Arabidopsis thaliana: one gene and its partners. The protein of the gene in region 1 interacts with the protein of each later gene in a pairwise test. Each region holds a gene or a part of one and is shown in the gene's direction. Other genes may lie near its edges. The genes, in order: AT5G01200, AT1G68160 and AT1G10820.

Region 1 (4,297 bases):
GTTTGTCCTAATTTGTTTTTATCACTTGTTTAATACATGTGGTAGATAATAAAAAATGTTCAAAACGCAATACCATACTTGAAAAAAAAAAATGTTAGACCTAGTTATAAGACAAGACTGAACTAATTAAGTGATCGGTTAGTTGGTAAAACAAAATAGTATTTCGAACTTAATTTTCACCTAAAGTTTAAACGTGTCTACTAATGACTCGATAAACTAAAAAAAACAGTCTTTTTTTTCTTCCAAAAAGTCGTTATCAAAGCAGAATTCATCTGTCGTCGAATTTTGAATGAGTAGGTGCAATGTCACATTTCCAATATTAAAAGAAAACGAGAAAGAAAAAAACAAAATACTCCTCATAAAACGATAGAAATGAAATAAAACGAAGCAAGAGTAATAAATTCGACAGAAAAAGGAGTAATTTACTAATTATAGTAAGAGAATCTTGCTAAATATAGAATCCAAGAAGAAGTCACTCTCTGTGGAACAGAAACCTTGTGTCTGCTACAAATCAGCAGATGACACTTACAGTTTACGTTTCATCATGCATGTGAGCGACACTATAGGGAGAATTCGGTATTGGCTTCCTTTGTTGTCCCTACCTTATTTAATTACTCCTGATAACTATTTTTCTGTGTATTTCATCGTATCGAAATATCCAAATTTCATTCTTCATGGCTGATTTAACTAGTGTTTAATTATAATTATACTTTATACTTTTTTTTGGTTCTTAATCACACATGCTTTCGGGATCTTGAATACGAAATTTTAAACCGTCTATCATTTGTTTCCTGAACCGGGTATTGCAAATAGTTAAATCTTAGTCAACTATTTTTTCGAGTTTTTTTTAAAAATAGTTCTGAAAGACAAAAATACATGAGTTTGTGAAAATGTTTGACAGTTGGCTATAATAATTGGTTGCAATGCTTTATACTTTTACCAAATTTAAATTATTCAATTGGCTAGAAGTGGAGCTGTGGTACCGTCCACATGAGGTGGTGTCGTGGTGAGACATTAATATATGAACTTTTGTTACGATATGAAAGCACCCGACACATACATTCTTCGTATTATCTTGCCTTATATGAATAAACATAAAATAACCAATACTAAATTTGAAACTGTGATACACTAAAGAAAATATCTTTGGTTACATCCAGCTCTGGCTTCTGTTCAAAGTTTTTCTTTTGAATTTATTTAAAGGTTAATTAAGATCACCACCTAACCCACTTGTACAACGGTTCTGCAGTTTTTGCCATCGAATCCCATTGTTTAATTCGCATATTTGTATGATCTCTACTTTTTTTTTAAAGTTAAATAGATTAATTAACAAAATGAAGTTTATTTACAACAAAATAAATGAAAAGTACAAATACGTTAAAAAACAAATTGTTTGCCAGCCAAAAATTAATTAAATACGTAATTTTCGAAGGTGTAATATTCCAACTTGTTTTTGTATATTTGTTTAGCTTATGGAGTTATGGTTGTGTTATTATATATTGAATGGGCTATTTCGTGTTGACAAATAAGCTCTTTAGTTAAATATTATTATGTTCTTGATTAAACAACAAATTAAGAACCGGCCAAACCATTGAACAGTCGTTTTCTGGTCTTTTTCATTTTATTGGTTACACCTTCTTTGTCATAAAATAGAAATTATGTTATACTTTCTTTCATGTATCGACACGTGCATTTGGTTAGTCTTAATCCCATTTCAATTTTATATGATTTATCATATTAGCAGAAAACAAATATGCTAATTATCACATAGATAAGCCATACTAAAAGTATTTATCTGACCTTAGGTTAAAAAAAATATTAAAATATAGCTTATAAGAAACATTCACTACTGAGTTGTCATATTTCTACTGGCCGACTTAGATTGCAACAACTAAAATATATTTTTTATAAATCATTTGACATAGGCAAAACAAAAACAAATATCTCTGTAACTTTTTCCTCAATTTTTTCTTTTAAAAAAACACTTTTTTATACACCTTTTCCTGTTGAATGTATTATTATTCCTATTGATCATCACGTGAAATATAGAAAAATAAAATAAAAAAGCAAAATCCACTTTTGTGTTTTCCTTTTCGTTTACGACCAAAGAGATCCACTTTATGCTCTCTTCATTTTCTCCATGTAATAATTTTTCTCGAGAGATTTCTGAAAATAAAGTCGTTTCTTTTTTTTTTTGCCTTGGTCACTCAAGACTCTCTTCTTCACTCTCTGTTTTTTGTCCTCTTCTAAAATTTAGAGAAAAAAACGAAAGTTTTCACCAAAAACAGAGGAGGAGCTATGTCATCGTCGACGATGTACAGAGGAGTTAATATGTTTTCACCGGCAAACACAAACTGGATTTTTCAAGAAGTCAGAGAAGCCACGTGGACGGCGGAGGAGAACAAACGGTTCGAGAAAGCTCTCGCTTATCTGGACGACAAAGACAATCTTGAGAGCTGGTCCAAGATCGCAGATTTGATTCCCGGCAAAACAGTAGCTGACGTCATTAAACGATACAAGGAGCTAGAGGATGATGTCAGCGACATCGAAGCCGGACTTATCCCCATTCCGGGATACGGCGGCGACGCCTCCTCCGCTGCAAACAGTGACTATTTCTTTGGTCTAGAAAACTCCAGCTACGGTTATGATTACGTCGTTGGAGGAAAGAGGAGTTCGCCGGCGATGACTGATTGTTTTAGGTCTCCGATGCCGGAAAAGGAGAGGAAGAAAGGAGTTCCGTGGACCGAGGACGAACACCTGTAACTACCAAATTTCTTCACTACTTCTAATTAATGTTATAAAGATTTGTTCTAAAAAAATCGATATTTTATGTTATAATACTATAGAATTTAAGTTTCTAAGCCTAACAATTTGTTTATTTTGGTAAATAATTTTGGAACTAAATCTTGTTTTGTGGTATTTTGAGGTAAATATATCTCTTTTATTAATATTTACTTGAAATTCTCTGTTTTTATATGAACTCACTGAGGAGAATATTTCTTTTGATAATTAAAATGCCTAGGATTTATACTTTTCTTACAATTTATATCTATTTTCAAATACTTTCTTGAAATTATTTATCTTATGTGAAGTTAACTAAATATAATATTGATTTACTTTTCTTTGTTTGACAGACGATTTCTGATGGGTTTGAAGAAATATGGAAAAGGAGATTGGAGAAACATAGCAAAAAGCTTTGTGACGACTCGAACGCCGACGCAAGTCGCTTCACACGCTCAGAAATATTTTCTTCGACAACTCACAGATGGTAAAGACAAAAGACGATCAAGTATTCACGATATCACCACTGTTAACATCCCTGACGCAGACGCATCCGCAACCGCCACGACCGCTGACGTAGCACTCTCTCCTACTCCAGCCAATTCTTTTGACGTTTTCCTTCAGCCAAATCCTCATTACAGTTTCGCGTCTGCGTCTGCGTCTAGCTATTATAATGCGTTTCCGCAGTGGAGTTAAATCACTTAGAAATTATCTAGAGTTTGTGGTCTCCTATAGATTTGTTACATACATTTTCTACGTACATATTACTGCAGAATTGTTGTAAATATTTGTATGAAAAGGTTTGTGTGATTCTGCTGTCCATATATTAGGTCTGGTTGGTTGTAATTTTCAGTGTTCCGAGTTTTATAATACCAATATATGATATATATATATGATATATATATATATATATATATATGTGTGACTTTACATACTATATTCTTTAATAATCATATAATTATAATGTAAATACCGTTGACTTTAATGTCAATGCTTGGTGTGAGTCGCTTTTTCTTCCCGACAACTTAGGATTAGTTCGAATCAGCATCTAATTCAGTTTTTTTTTGTTCAAATTAAAAGTAAAACTGACGAAGGATCTGACTATTAAATACTACTTTTTTACTTAATATTCTTCCCATGGCTTCGCTGATCGTTCAACATAACAGAAGAATTATATTCCATTTTCGTGGTTCCATTTACCTCCAATTATTATCATGAACCTGACGGGTGTTGCGTCCCAAATGCTTCGAGCTTTCAATTTGTTTTTTTTTTGTTTAACTAAAAAAAACGAAAAGAAAAGGGAAAACAAAAAAACAACGTCGGCTTACAAAGCCCAAAGAAGAAGAAATAGTTAATGCCCATTAAACTGTGCCCCAATAAGATCCCTTAAACCCCGTAAAAATCCATGATTTTCAAGCCCAGTAGTGATTTGGAGTGTACCGGTGATTTGGAGTCTACTAAAATGTTAAATTCATAAATTGCAAAAAGTTGTAAACTACAGTATTAGGATTACGAC
Region 2 (5,622 bases), on another chromosome or scaffold:
TTTGAGATTTTCTTTAGTGGAACAAACTTTAATTATATATAGCTTCTAATTTTATTTTATTTTCTAATTTCTAAACATATTACGAAAAATTAATATGAGAGAGTGGTTTCAGCAAAATTAGCTAGGACTTACTTACATGATGAGGACTATATATATGAGAAAAAAACTGTGAATTAAGGTTGGGATTAAAGTCTTAAAGAAACCAAAAGCAGGGATAATGTAGAAATTTGGAGATGCTAAGGCCACAAGTTAATAGTTGAGACTTGATAGATATGATAACTTATTTGTTTTGTTTTTTGTTTTTTTTGTAGTTAATAACATTGTAAATCAGTAAAACCAAAATCTAGTTCCTGCCAACAATTTTGAAATTAAAATGTATGGATCACCTTAATGAGCGAAAGAGTGCATCAAGTCCAACAACAAAGTCTTTCTCTTCTTCATAACATAATGTTCGGAGTTAAATTAACTTGAATGAAACAAATCTTTAATTAATTATATTGATTTGCATTATTAGGAAACTGTTCAGATTAGCCTACCAAAAAAAAGGAAACTGTATTACTGTTAGTGGAGCAAGTATAATGTGCAGTTTATTGGGCTCATAGCATTTTAGAGCCCAAATTTATTCGTTTCTTAAGCAAAATCTTAAATGCGTATAAAATTAGTCTTTTACAAATATAGCATGTGGCCCAATATAAACGTCAGGCCTGATAATATGTTTAAGTGTCCATGACTTTTAACATGTTTCATTTGATAAGCATTTTTTACCAGAAGCTTATGTTAATTCACTTATACGGGTTGGGGATAATGAAAATTGAATTTGGACTAATAGAGCATACATCAATCGAGGAAAATTGCAACGACAAAGAAACGACGGTACATCAATTTTACCTTAGTAAAATCTTGATAAGATTTGAAGTGTGAGTTAATAACAAATTTTAAAAAACCTAACTTATCTAGTGAAAAAAAATGAAAATTATAAAAGCTGATGGCATTTAGATAGTAAACAGAAATCAAAATTGTTAAGTGATAGTAGTCTTGTTGCAAATGATAAGTCCACTGAGAACATGACATCGAGGATCGAGTCTCGCTCCTTATAAATGTTGACAAAAAAAAACAGAAATCAAAACATCATTTTGGTGTATGAATATATTTCTTGATCTATTTAGTGTATCAATAATTTCTTAAATATCAAAAAAAAAAAAAAAAACTCTTCATCGATTTTTATATGCTTGCTTCTGTTATTGGTTCATAACTATGAGTCCAATTATTTTCATAGTCGCATATAATTGTAAAAGTATTGTACGAACGGATCAGTTTATCCCACAATTATTGAGATGCTAAGATTAATTTTTGTATTAACATAAAGAAAAAATATGAATCAAATTCATATATCTTGAGATTTTGACAACGAGGATGTCACACATTGACATTATTAGAAAACAAAAAAAAAAAAAAAAAATCTTGTCTACTTGATAAAACTTTTTGGAATAAAAAAAGTGAGGTAGAAGAAAGAAAGGCATCAAATGCTTTATTATTGGGATTCGCACTATTTACTAAATTCCACGATCTGCCAACCATCTCTTTTATTTATTTACCTATTTTCTTATTTTTTTCTACTAATTTTGGTAGTAAAAAAAAAAAAATGAATATGTTCTTAGTCATATCTCTCCCTTCAATTTAGGAAGAGAATCTTTTCTAAAATTCCCCATTCCTACTTACTTTTATAGTCAAAATCCATTTTTTTCCATTTCAACTAATTGTGTTGGAAAATAATTAATATTAGATTTCAATTAAGTTTATCATCAATATGGTGAAAAGTCATAAAGTAATGTATTAATAATTTTTTCATTATTTGTCTAAAAATCCTTCATTGGCTTATAGCTTACAAGGCTGCTCTGTCTAATATACAGAGGACAAGAGAAAAAAAAAAAAAGAAAAAAAAAATTGTGATTTGGTAAACAAAATCAAATTTTGGTTTCTTTGTGAGAACTTAACTTAGGGTTTATAAAGTTCCAAGCTTTATCCATGGCGTAAGATGATTCACCTTCTCAAAGTTTGATCCTTTTTTCATATCTGATCAAAGGAGAGTTTTGGGTTTGATTTCTAATTGTTAAAGTTTTAATCTTTTTATTTGGGTTTGTGTTCGATTATGTGGATGGCTACTCAATCAAATTCTGGGTTCGATTCTTTGAGTTCTATGATGAGTCGTCACGCTATTAATTTCCAATCTAACACTTCTTCGGAGATGACTCCAATGAGTCCGTACTTGGGGATGAATATGAATATGATCAATGTTGGTTCTCCTGGTTTTCTTCAAACCGGGAATTCTTCGAATGGTTCCGATTCGGGTTCTGGTCTAAAGCTTGATACTTCCATGGTTAGTGAATGGTCAAATGAAGAACAATACATATTGGATGCTGGTCTTGAAAAGTGAGTCTTTCTTGTTTTGTGATTTCTTAACATTAATGAGGATATGAAGATAGTTTTTTGTTCTGTGGAATTTGATATGATCTGATTCTGTGTTTTTTGTAGATATAAGGATATGCCAAGTATTGATATGTATATTCAAATTGGAAACACTTTACCTGATAAAAGTATTCGAGATATTGCTTTGCGGTGTAGGTGGCTGAGGGTAAGTATCTCTCTTCACATATCTGCCTTGTTCTGACGGTTTTTGTAGCTTTCTTGTGACCATTTTTCAGTCATGTAGTTCTACGCTTATGCCATGAATGATATATGTATAGCAAAGAAAAATGATACACAGGGAACAGTTTCTACATGTTCTGATTTCATACATAGCTTCTTAAACTACAGTACACAGAATGAAATGGTTTTGCCTTAGGATGGACTTTTTGGTCTTATTGATGCCTGAGTTGTATCAATATTGAGTTCTTGAGATGAGAATAGTGAGCATAACAGTCTTTGAGTTTTGAACAAAATCTTCTCTTCTCTTATATACTGAATCATTTCTTACTTTTACCTTTTGTCTTCGTCTGTTGATGTACTGACTTTGTTTTGCATAGAGAAAGAGAAGAAAATCAGAAGAATTAAACTGTGGAAGAAGAGCAAGTTCTAGCAAGGTATATTGGAAATTCTTGCCATTTGTTCAATTTTGATGAGTGACTTTTTTGTAAGTTCGATTGAAAGATGATGCTAGGATTGAGATTGAATATCTTTTGATTAATTTAGGTTTTTGTACTAAAAGATTTATATTTCTTCAGGGCAAGCAGGTGGAATCGTCGTCTAAGTCAAGCATTCCCTCTGTTTTGCCTCATAACATGGCTTCATATCCTTTCTCAGGGCCATCTACAAGCACCAGTAAACAAATTACGTCTGAAGGTTAACATCTATCTTTATCTGAGAGATTTCCACCTGAATTTGCTAACTCCAGGTCTTTTTTTTCATTGACATGCACACATTAACATCATATTTTGTTTTCAAAAGGAGGCAATACGTTTTGATGTATGTATTATGGTGCAAATGTCGTTTAAGTATGTATTTTGTTATATAAATAAGTTCATAGGGGATTAGTGTATTTCAGCTAGACTTTTAGCTTCTTGGGACGATGCTAACATAACTACGTCTCTAAAGTAGTTTAGTCTTGGAAGAAGCCTTTACCCATAGATACTGAAATTGGTTTCTTAACTGCATTGTCCTTCTCTAGAGGTGCATTCTTGAGATTATTTATTTCATACATCTAGTAAAGGAGTATAATGACTATTGTATGTTTAAATGGTGAAATTCTATTTAAGTCCGCTCTCTGATCCTATTACCTTGTAAAGATGATCCTTTAAGCTCTCTTTCATATGAAGTTTTGTTGAAGTCACAATAATCTTTAGTCTCTTTTCTTTTCTTACTGATTCTTTCGTGGTTCTGTTTCAGATTTAAGTAGCTATGCAACAAATCTTATAGAACAGAATGTACGAGCTTTTAGTCAAATTAGAGCTAATCTCTCCTCATATAAGGTAAGTTCTAGATTACCTTGTTTAAAGGAATGCAAATGTGTTCTTGCTAAAACCGCTCCGTAATGATAATTGCAAACAGGCAGGGGATAACCTAGATCTCTTTCGTCAGGCAAGGAACAACCTTATCACCATCCAAAATGAGTAAGTTGATACTTTAAACATTTTGTGTATAAGTTTTGTGGAGCTTAGTGACCAGACGTTGTCTTGATTTGGCAGGATAAATAATATGCCTGGATTGATGAACAAGATGCCACCATTGCCAGTCACAATCAATGATGATCTCTCGGTGAGTAATACTACTTTAGTAAGTTAATAGGCTGCTCACTTTTGCATTAACAGTCCATTGTTTTAGATATCAAAATGTCCACATCACCCATTTGCTTGTTTTACCTCAGACACTACCGTAGTTCAAACCCCATATCTCTGGTTCAAGTGCTCAAAATATAGAATTATTGTGCTTCTAACTAGCTGAGTATCTTAAGACCAGTTTTTCAATGTTTTGGTTTGTAGAAATGTCTATCAAGAGCAAATAGAGCAGAAGAATAATAGCTTCCCAATATCAATGACTTTGGTTTCCTCGATTTGTACCAGGTGATGATGCCATTCAATACGATGCAAAGTGGCGGCTTCCATAGGAAGTAGAAGTCTTAGGAAATCATCTGGTTTCCCTTAGTTACCTGTAAATTATCCTAAAGAAGCTGGAGGAGGTAAAAAAAAGCTCATCAAATGTTGGGAAGTTTGTAGAAATGTGATTCTTTCGTAACACCAACGATCTTTATTGCTGCGCGGGATGTTGAAACAAGACATAATATAACGAATGTAGGGGTTCTTGGTCCTGGCTCCTAACTAAAAAACCTTCTTAACAAGTTCTATTAGATAAACTTAGTTCAATTAGTGTCTTGGAGAATTTCTAAGCGATCGATGTGTATAAAAAAAGATTCTATTGAAGAGCGTGTTGAGATTTGCATCTTTAATCTTTTGATCTTTTGGTGTGTTGTTTTGGTACCCATTTTTTCTTAGCATTAATCAATCTTTATTTTTCATAAGCCAACATTGAACGAAATAAAACAATCCGAAACCTTCGATGTTGTATATACGAAACATAAATGTTAGAAACGAGAACAAGAAGAAAGGCAAAGAATCCATAATGACAAATAATGGGACCAAAGAACAAGCATAGAGATATAGGAAACTCTACATCATCCAATTTAATCGGTTTTGAGAAGATGAAACGTGATCTCCTCTAGATGGACCATCAAAGTTCAAGCTTCTTATGGTTCGATTGTTGTAGCTGCTATTTTGTGGGTATGTAATCAAAGAAGAGTCTATGGCTTGAGGAGTTTGGTAATAGGAAGGATGAGAGAGGTTGTCACTGGAATCGAGTAACAAGAATGGAGAAGTAGAGGCAGTGGAAGCCATGGCTGTTGCTCCGACCGGAAGTGGATGGTTATGTGTTCCTTCGTAGGTTGTTATCAGTATTGACATGTCTTCTAAACACCTTTGCACCTTCACAATGTAACAAATCTCATTATCAACTATATATATATACATAGTTTCATTCCATTCAAATGTGGTTATGACATGCTATGAATTCTACATTGGACATAAAGTAATATATAAAGTACATAGACGAATCAACTCATTACCAATTCGTTTT
Region 3 (6,579 bases), on another chromosome or scaffold:
ATGTTAATGCTTATCCTTATATTTGCAATTGTACATAGTGGTTTAGCTAGTCTAAGGGATATAGGAGAGAAACTTATAGGTGAACGAGCATTTCGTGTTTTGTTTGCTGGAATCTCTCTTCCTTTAGCTATGAGCACCATTGTGAGTACTCTCTCTTCTAACTCTGCAATTTTTCTCCTGATCAATGGTATAAATACCTGTTTGATGTCTCTTATGGTCTATGCAATGCCTTGTTCTTCTTTCAGGTTTACTTTATAAACCATAGATATGATGGGTCACAGTTATGGCAGCTTCAGGGTGTTCCTGGAGTCCATGAAGCTATTTGGGTCGCTAATTTTGTATCCTTCTTCTTTCTCTATCCTTCAACCTTCAATCTTCTGGAGGTAGCAGCTGTTGACAAACCGAAGATGCATCTCTGGGAGACCGGCATCATGAGAATCACTCGACATCCTCAGGTTTTGAACATTTCCCTAATGTGCCTAAACATGAAGACAATTTCCTTCATTTTTGTGTTTCAAAAATACAGAAAGATTGGATTTTTATGAGCCAAGGTTTATTAGTGGCTGTGTTAATGAGACCCCCAATCATTGAATCAATTATGGGCAGGTATTGGCCATTGACTTAAATACACCCATTACATCAGCACAATCAAATCTCCTCATCCTTCTATGTTTATTACATCAATGCTTGATTACTTTACTTGATATTGCTTTTGATCTTAAAATTCTTATCCAATTGCTTCATCATGTGTTTGGAAAAACTTGATAATATATAGAAAGATAGGCATTTTAGCTTCAGTTTTGGTTTGTTCTATTCTCTCTTCATTATACTGGCTTTGTTAATGAGACTTGATTGTTGCACCTCTCTCCTCTGATCTTCTCCAGATGGTTGGACAAATCGTTTGGTGTTTAGCACATACTCTCTGGATCGGAAACACAGTAGCTGCATCAGCTTCTCTCGGTTTGATTGCACACCATTTGTTTGGGGCGTGGAATGGAGACAGGAGATTGGCAAAAAGATATGGAGAGGATTTTGAAAGCATCAAGAAGAGAACAAGTGTGATTCCATTTGCTGCCATTTTCGAAGGACGGCAAGTTTTACCTGAGGATTACTACAAAGAATTTGTCAGGTTGCCATATCTTGCAATCACTGCGTTAACGGTTGGGGCATATTTTGCTCACCCGCTAATGCAAGGTGCAAGCTTTAGGCTTCATTGGTAAATTATATGTCATGCTTTAGGCTTCATTGGTAAATTATATGTCATTTATGTTTGTTTGTTTCCTGCAGTGTTCATAAAGACTTGTTAAGGAACAAATGTATACAAAAAGCCATATTGTTTGTGATACTTGACTCTTCTTCATTTCTCGATTATTTTGGCTCAACACTCTGTAACCACTATGTGTGAGTTCGATCCAACAAGTGGGTTTAGATTAGTATTAACTAGGAATGTTTAATAGTACTGCTAAATGAATATTTAGGTAAAACTATTTTGTATATAAATTCCCACTCAGATGTCATGGGTCACTCTGACGCCTACCACTATACTAATAGAAGTAAATTTTTCTTTTTTCGATGTTTAGTTACAATCGGAAAATGAATCTAAATTTTAACTAATATTAATAATATGCCAAGATCTCCATCCAAATCTAGATTGATATCTACATATTGATGCCTTGATATCTCTAAACTCTAAAGATAAACTTAAAGGCAAGTGATTAATTGTTAACTAAAATTAAAAATTAACAATACAATTTTAATTCGCTAGTTATAAAAATTTTATTACCAAGAAGAATATGGAAAAAAAGGAATTGGAGGCAAAAAAAAAAAAAAAAAAAAAAAAAGAGGCCAAAAGAAAAGAAAGCAAAGGAGTATGAATACAACAAAGAGGTTCTGCAAGAAACAAACAACACAGCCAATTACTACTAAACAAACACACTCTCTCTTTCATTCTTTCTCTCTCTCTCTCTCTCGATTTTCTCCCATTGGAGTTCGCAATTAGCTGCCACTCTCTGATCGATCTTCTTCTCACATCACATCCTTTATAATCTTCAGTTCTACTGCTCGGAGGTGTTTGCTTGCGTTCTCTCTTGTCGGTCACATCCCTAATTACCATCACTGCCCCTGATTAAAGTTTTACTCTATCTTCTTTGTTGATGCCAAATCTGAGGTGGGTTTCTCATCTTTTTATTCTTTCAGCTGTGTTTTGTTTCATTTATTTGTTTCTGGATTTGCTAAAACCCTAAATTTGATATCTTTGGGGGCATCATCGTAGCTCAAATCAGCTTCAATTATCAAATCTCCACGAATGATTCCAATGGATAATCACTGCTTGCCAAGTACTAGCACCACCGGTCTTGTATTCCCGACCAATTACGGTGTTAATGCGATTAACGCTTCCTCCGGTTTTCACCCAGCTGTGGATGCTTCGGGTTCAGTGGCTGCAGGAGTCAAACAAGAAGCTGCTTTGGTTATGGATTGGTCCGTTGAGGAACAGTATGTTTTGGAGAACGGCCTTGCAAAGTAGGTATCTTCGTTTCTGCTTAATTCTTTGGATATTTCCATTTCTTATTTTTTTAATATCCTAAATGTGTCTTTGTTCATTCGTAGCTTTTCAAACTATGCTTATATTTTTACAATAACAATACATAAAAGTTGAAATCGGGAATTGTTTTATCAGAAAAGTAGTAGTGGGAACATTATATTCTCAATGGTGGACTATTAAAGTATGTTCCTTTGTTCCTTCTGATTATAAAAGTATCGCCTTTGTGTGTTCCATGACATTGTTTTCTGGGACTGGGACCATTAGTAAGTTCGGGTTAAGTTATCGATTTTCTAGCTGAGGTTGTTCCTGGTTACTTTGGTTTTCTAGAGTCTGTAGCTTGTTTGTTCTATTTGTTTGCATTTATGACATCTTTATTTTTTTTCCGTTTGTAGATTAAAAGATGAACCCAAAATTTCAAAGTATGTAAAGATCGCTGCAACTCTACCGGATAAAACTGTAAGGGATGTAGCATTGAGGTGTAGATGGATGACGGTAAGTTGGTTAAGCTTCCTTGAGCTATGTGCATACTTCCTGTTGTTTATGTGCTTTTGCTTAGATGACAAGAAAAATTACCACTCTAGACGTCTCTCAAGGATATTTCTTTTGCTAGGGAATTACTTAGTTGTCTCTAGCATTCCTTTTCAAGTGGTATGTGGCTGTTATGGAAGGATTTTTGTTGAAGGATATTTCTGTCACTGTTAAAAGCATATGCTAAATATGAGGGAATCAGCATGATGATGCAATCTTGCGTGTGTGCTTTGTGATAAAGATAAAGTCCTACAAAAAAAGCTAGCGGTTTTATTGATGAAAAGTCATTGACATGTCGTAAAGATTGTCTAAACACTGGTAAAGGACGAGCAAAAAGAGAAAATGACAAGTATTGCTGACGCTAGATTAGTCTTTATATTAGCTTTCGAGTCCATGATTGTGGAGGAATTATTGGAAAAGGAAATAAGCCTAACGCTTTTTGTTAATTATTTCTGTAGTTATCCTCACATAGATTTTACTTTTACGGGTGATGGCTGAGACTGATCCCTATACTTTTATGGTTTTTTTTTTAAAATGATTATATTGCTCGCAGCATGAGTTTACATACATCATAATGTTAATTGTTTGCATAATAATGAAATGAATTAATGAAGTACAAATGTACAATGCTTTATTATCATCATATTTCCATCTCCTTCATGTCTCTGTCCTTTCATAATTGACTTGAGTTTTCAATCAGATATATGATGTAATCAAACATAAAGCTGCAAAATTACTCCGTTTTCTTTTAATTTAGTGCTTGTTTGCCACCAGATATCTATCATGGTCTTTAAAGTTCTCTTGGCTAAGTCGGGTATCTATTTTCACAGAGAAAACGGAGGAAACGAGAGGATAATAATGCCGCTAAGAACATTAGCACTAGGAAGGTATGCTTGCCCACCTCAACCTTTCTTGTGTCGTATTTACCAGTTAATAAGTCGATGGAGGTAGGTGCCTCATTTACGTTTTGGGTTAAACGGGATTTTCCCACAGATGTGACTTTTATTCATGCAAGTCTGAGCTAACGATGGTATTTTTCAACGAAGAAACTGTAATTGGCTAAATTGCTTGTATGGTGGACTTTTCATGAGAACATATTTTGTTAGTTCCTGACTAAGAAAAAGGACTGTCTGCATGACTGGACAATCAATAAAGTTTGTGATCGATTTTTCAATGACTGACGAGCAGCAAATGATGTTGATCCAACTCTGCAGAAGTATTAGCATATATTACTTATGAGTATCTGAGCTTGTGGGCATGTTTATAATGATAATTATAAGGTAATCTAGTGATTGTTATGACATTTGATAAAGGGTTAGTGTGTGTGTTTCATTTCATGCACATTCTCCTTCCTGGGTCTTATGAACTTCTGTAGATCAATATGCTTTTAAACTTGGTTCTAAAGACCATGCTTCTTCATGGTAAGGTGGTGGATACATCCCCAGAACTGAACATGCTATCCAATGTGCCACAACAAAATGCTTTATATGTCCTGAACAATATGTGCCACAGTACACGCACGCCTTTCGAAGGTCTAGTGCTCTTTTAATTCTTTGCTCTTCTTCTGGGTTGTGTGGTCTTAAAAATAAACAAAATCAAATTGTCAGCTAGGTACTTTTGTTGAACTATTCGCAGGTTTAAGTGACGCAGTAATGGATCTTCTACAGCAAAATGCTCAAGCTTTTAGTCAGATTTCTTACAACCTCTCTGCGTGCAAGGTAATTTATACTTGCAATCCTTTGTGGCTAGTTGTGCGAGAAGATTGACAGACTGAAACTGTCATACAAGTTTGATCAAACATTGTATACCAGATTTCCTACATGCTCAGTTATTCTTTAGAAAATAATTTGATACTGTTTCCTTTTGCAAAGTAATTCGCACATAGATATGCTAACTTAGTGCATACAGCTGCAGGATAACATCAGTCTCTTTCATCAGGCAAGAAACAATATCAGCGCCATTTTGACTGAGTATGTGGATCTAATACTAATTCAATTTTCACAATTGAGACATCTCATCTGTCTTCCTTTCTATAATTTAAACCTTCAATTGCTAAATTCTTAGTTTCTTCTGCAGCATGAAGGAGATGCCTGGAATCATGAGTCGGATGCCGGCTCTACCGGTTTCAATTAATGATGATCTTGCAAGCAATCTATTGTCGAGTACAACACAGGTAATATATTTTGCTACATATGTCAAAATAGCTAATCCTGAAAAGTTCGCCATGTGACCTCAAATAATTAGAGCTTCTTGACCCAAAAAGTGAAACATATTAAGATATAAATATGAACATAGAAACCATTAATGTTTTTTAGTTTTATTGATCTCTTGAGGATTTCTCTTGGAAGCTGGCCATGCCTGATGTTTAGTGGATTGTTTCCCTGTCTCACAGCCAATATCGTACAACATTCCACCAAGCATCCACCTGAAGCAAGAGCCAAGAAGTTGATGGGGAAATCCGGATTTTGACCGATACTAAAGTAAATAGTACAAGAGCCTGGTACGTGGCAGTATTTCCGTGGACGACATGGCAATGTTTATCAACTGCAGACACCGCTTCAGAACATGAGATTCAACAATCAGTATTGGTAAAATCCTTTTGCCCTCGGGTAATTTGACAGAGAAGAATGAATTAGACTCCTTCTAAAGCCAAGGTAAAACTCTTTGATACGAACAAAATGCTTTGGCCGTAATTCGATCATAGGATTCCTTGCAATTCGTAGAAGACGGCATAGGTTGATAGAACTCAAAAGTCTTTTGCTGTAATCTTCTTGTTGAGGCTTAAATTAGTATAGTGACAGTTCTTTTGAGTGGTATTCAGAGGCCGGTTATGTGTAACACAAGTTCTAGTTAAGGTAATAATTTATCATCCTCTAGGTACGTATACGTTATCTTCATGGTTTAAGTCGTGATGTGACACAAATCATTGTATATACGCATTGTCACCTGTCTCAATTCATTGTTATAATGTTTGCAGAATCTTCAGTCCTTATTAGAGATTTACTTTTAAAAAGTTTCATTAATTTCAGACAGAAACAGACAAACAATAATGTAGCTTAAAGACGATGATGAAAAGTAGTTCAGAACATAGCTCAGCACGATGGCAGAGTAAAACTATTACAGATGGTTTATGAAGTCCAAGAAGACAGTGGTGGAGTTTCAGAATTCTTGTAAGTAACTATATAGGTGGCTGACCTTTCCCCTTTCACAGAATCGGGATGTCCCATGGCGTCAAGCTCGGCCATCTCTTCGATACTGAGTTTCACAGATAAAGCTCCTATGTTCTGATTAAGGTTTTTGATCTTAGAGGTTCCTGGGATTGGGCAGACATCATTTCCTTGGTGATGAACCCATGCCAAAGCTAATTGTGCAGGAGTACAGCTTTTCTTCTCTGCCATTGCATTGACCTTCTCATAGAGAATCTTGTTGTGGTCTAAGTTCTCTTGCTGGAATCTCGGTAAACCCTGAAATTAAGAGATGGTGAATGTGCTTAATACTCGGCTCTTTTC

Evidence for each region.
Region 2: the proteins of AT5G01200 (region 1) and AT1G68160 interact in a two-hybrid assay, tested with the Arabidopsis thaliana proteins (one study listed by BioGRID).
Region 3: the proteins of AT5G01200 (region 1) and AT1G10820 interact in a two-hybrid assay, tested with the Arabidopsis thaliana proteins (one study listed by BioGRID).

What each region holds. Positions count from the first base shown.
Region 1 is NC_003076.8:74,818-79,114, forward strand, and holds AT5G01200 (Duplicated homeodomain-like superfamily protein), read left to right. Parts: upstream 1-2,054; 5' UTR 2,055-2,298; coding exon 2,299-2,759; intron 2,760-3,134; coding exon 3,135-3,477; 3' UTR 3,478-3,726; downstream 3,727-4,297.
Region 2 is NC_003070.9:25,545,153-25,550,774, reverse strand, and holds AT1G68160 (ZZ-type zinc finger protein, putative (DUF3755)), read left to right. Parts: upstream 1-1,880; 5' UTR 1,881-2,149; coding exon 2,150-2,430; intron 2,431-2,532; coding exon 2,533-2,632; intron 2,633-3,023; coding exon 3,024-3,080; intron 3,081-3,221; coding exon 3,222-3,339; intron 3,340-3,882; coding exon 3,883-3,965; intron 3,966-4,044; coding exon 4,045-4,106; intron 4,107-4,181; coding exon 4,182-4,251; intron 4,252-4,556; coding exon 4,557-4,607; 3' UTR 4,608-5,017; downstream 5,018-5,622. Other genes in the region: WRKY9 (WRKY DNA-binding protein 9), read right to left, coding at 5,160-5,471.
Region 3 is NC_003070.9:3,600,377-3,606,955, reverse strand, and holds AT1G10820 (hypothetical protein (DUF3755)), read left to right. Parts: upstream 1-1,897; 5' UTR 1,898-2,167; intron 2,168-2,272; 5' UTR 2,273-2,305; coding exon 2,306-2,520; intron 2,521-2,934; coding exon 2,935-3,034; intron 3,035-3,900; coding exon 3,901-3,957; intron 3,958-4,496; coding exon 4,497-4,602; intron 4,603-4,705; coding exon 4,706-4,788; intron 4,789-4,978; coding exon 4,979-5,040; intron 5,041-5,146; coding exon 5,147-5,243; intron 5,244-5,462; coding exon 5,463-5,519; 3' UTR 5,520-6,046; downstream 6,047-6,579. Other genes in the region: Z-ISO (15-cis-zeta-carotene isomerase), read left to right, coding at 1-141, 246-455, 885-1,220; AT1G10810 (NAD(P)-linked oxidoreductase superfamily protein), read right to left, coding at 6,199-6,534.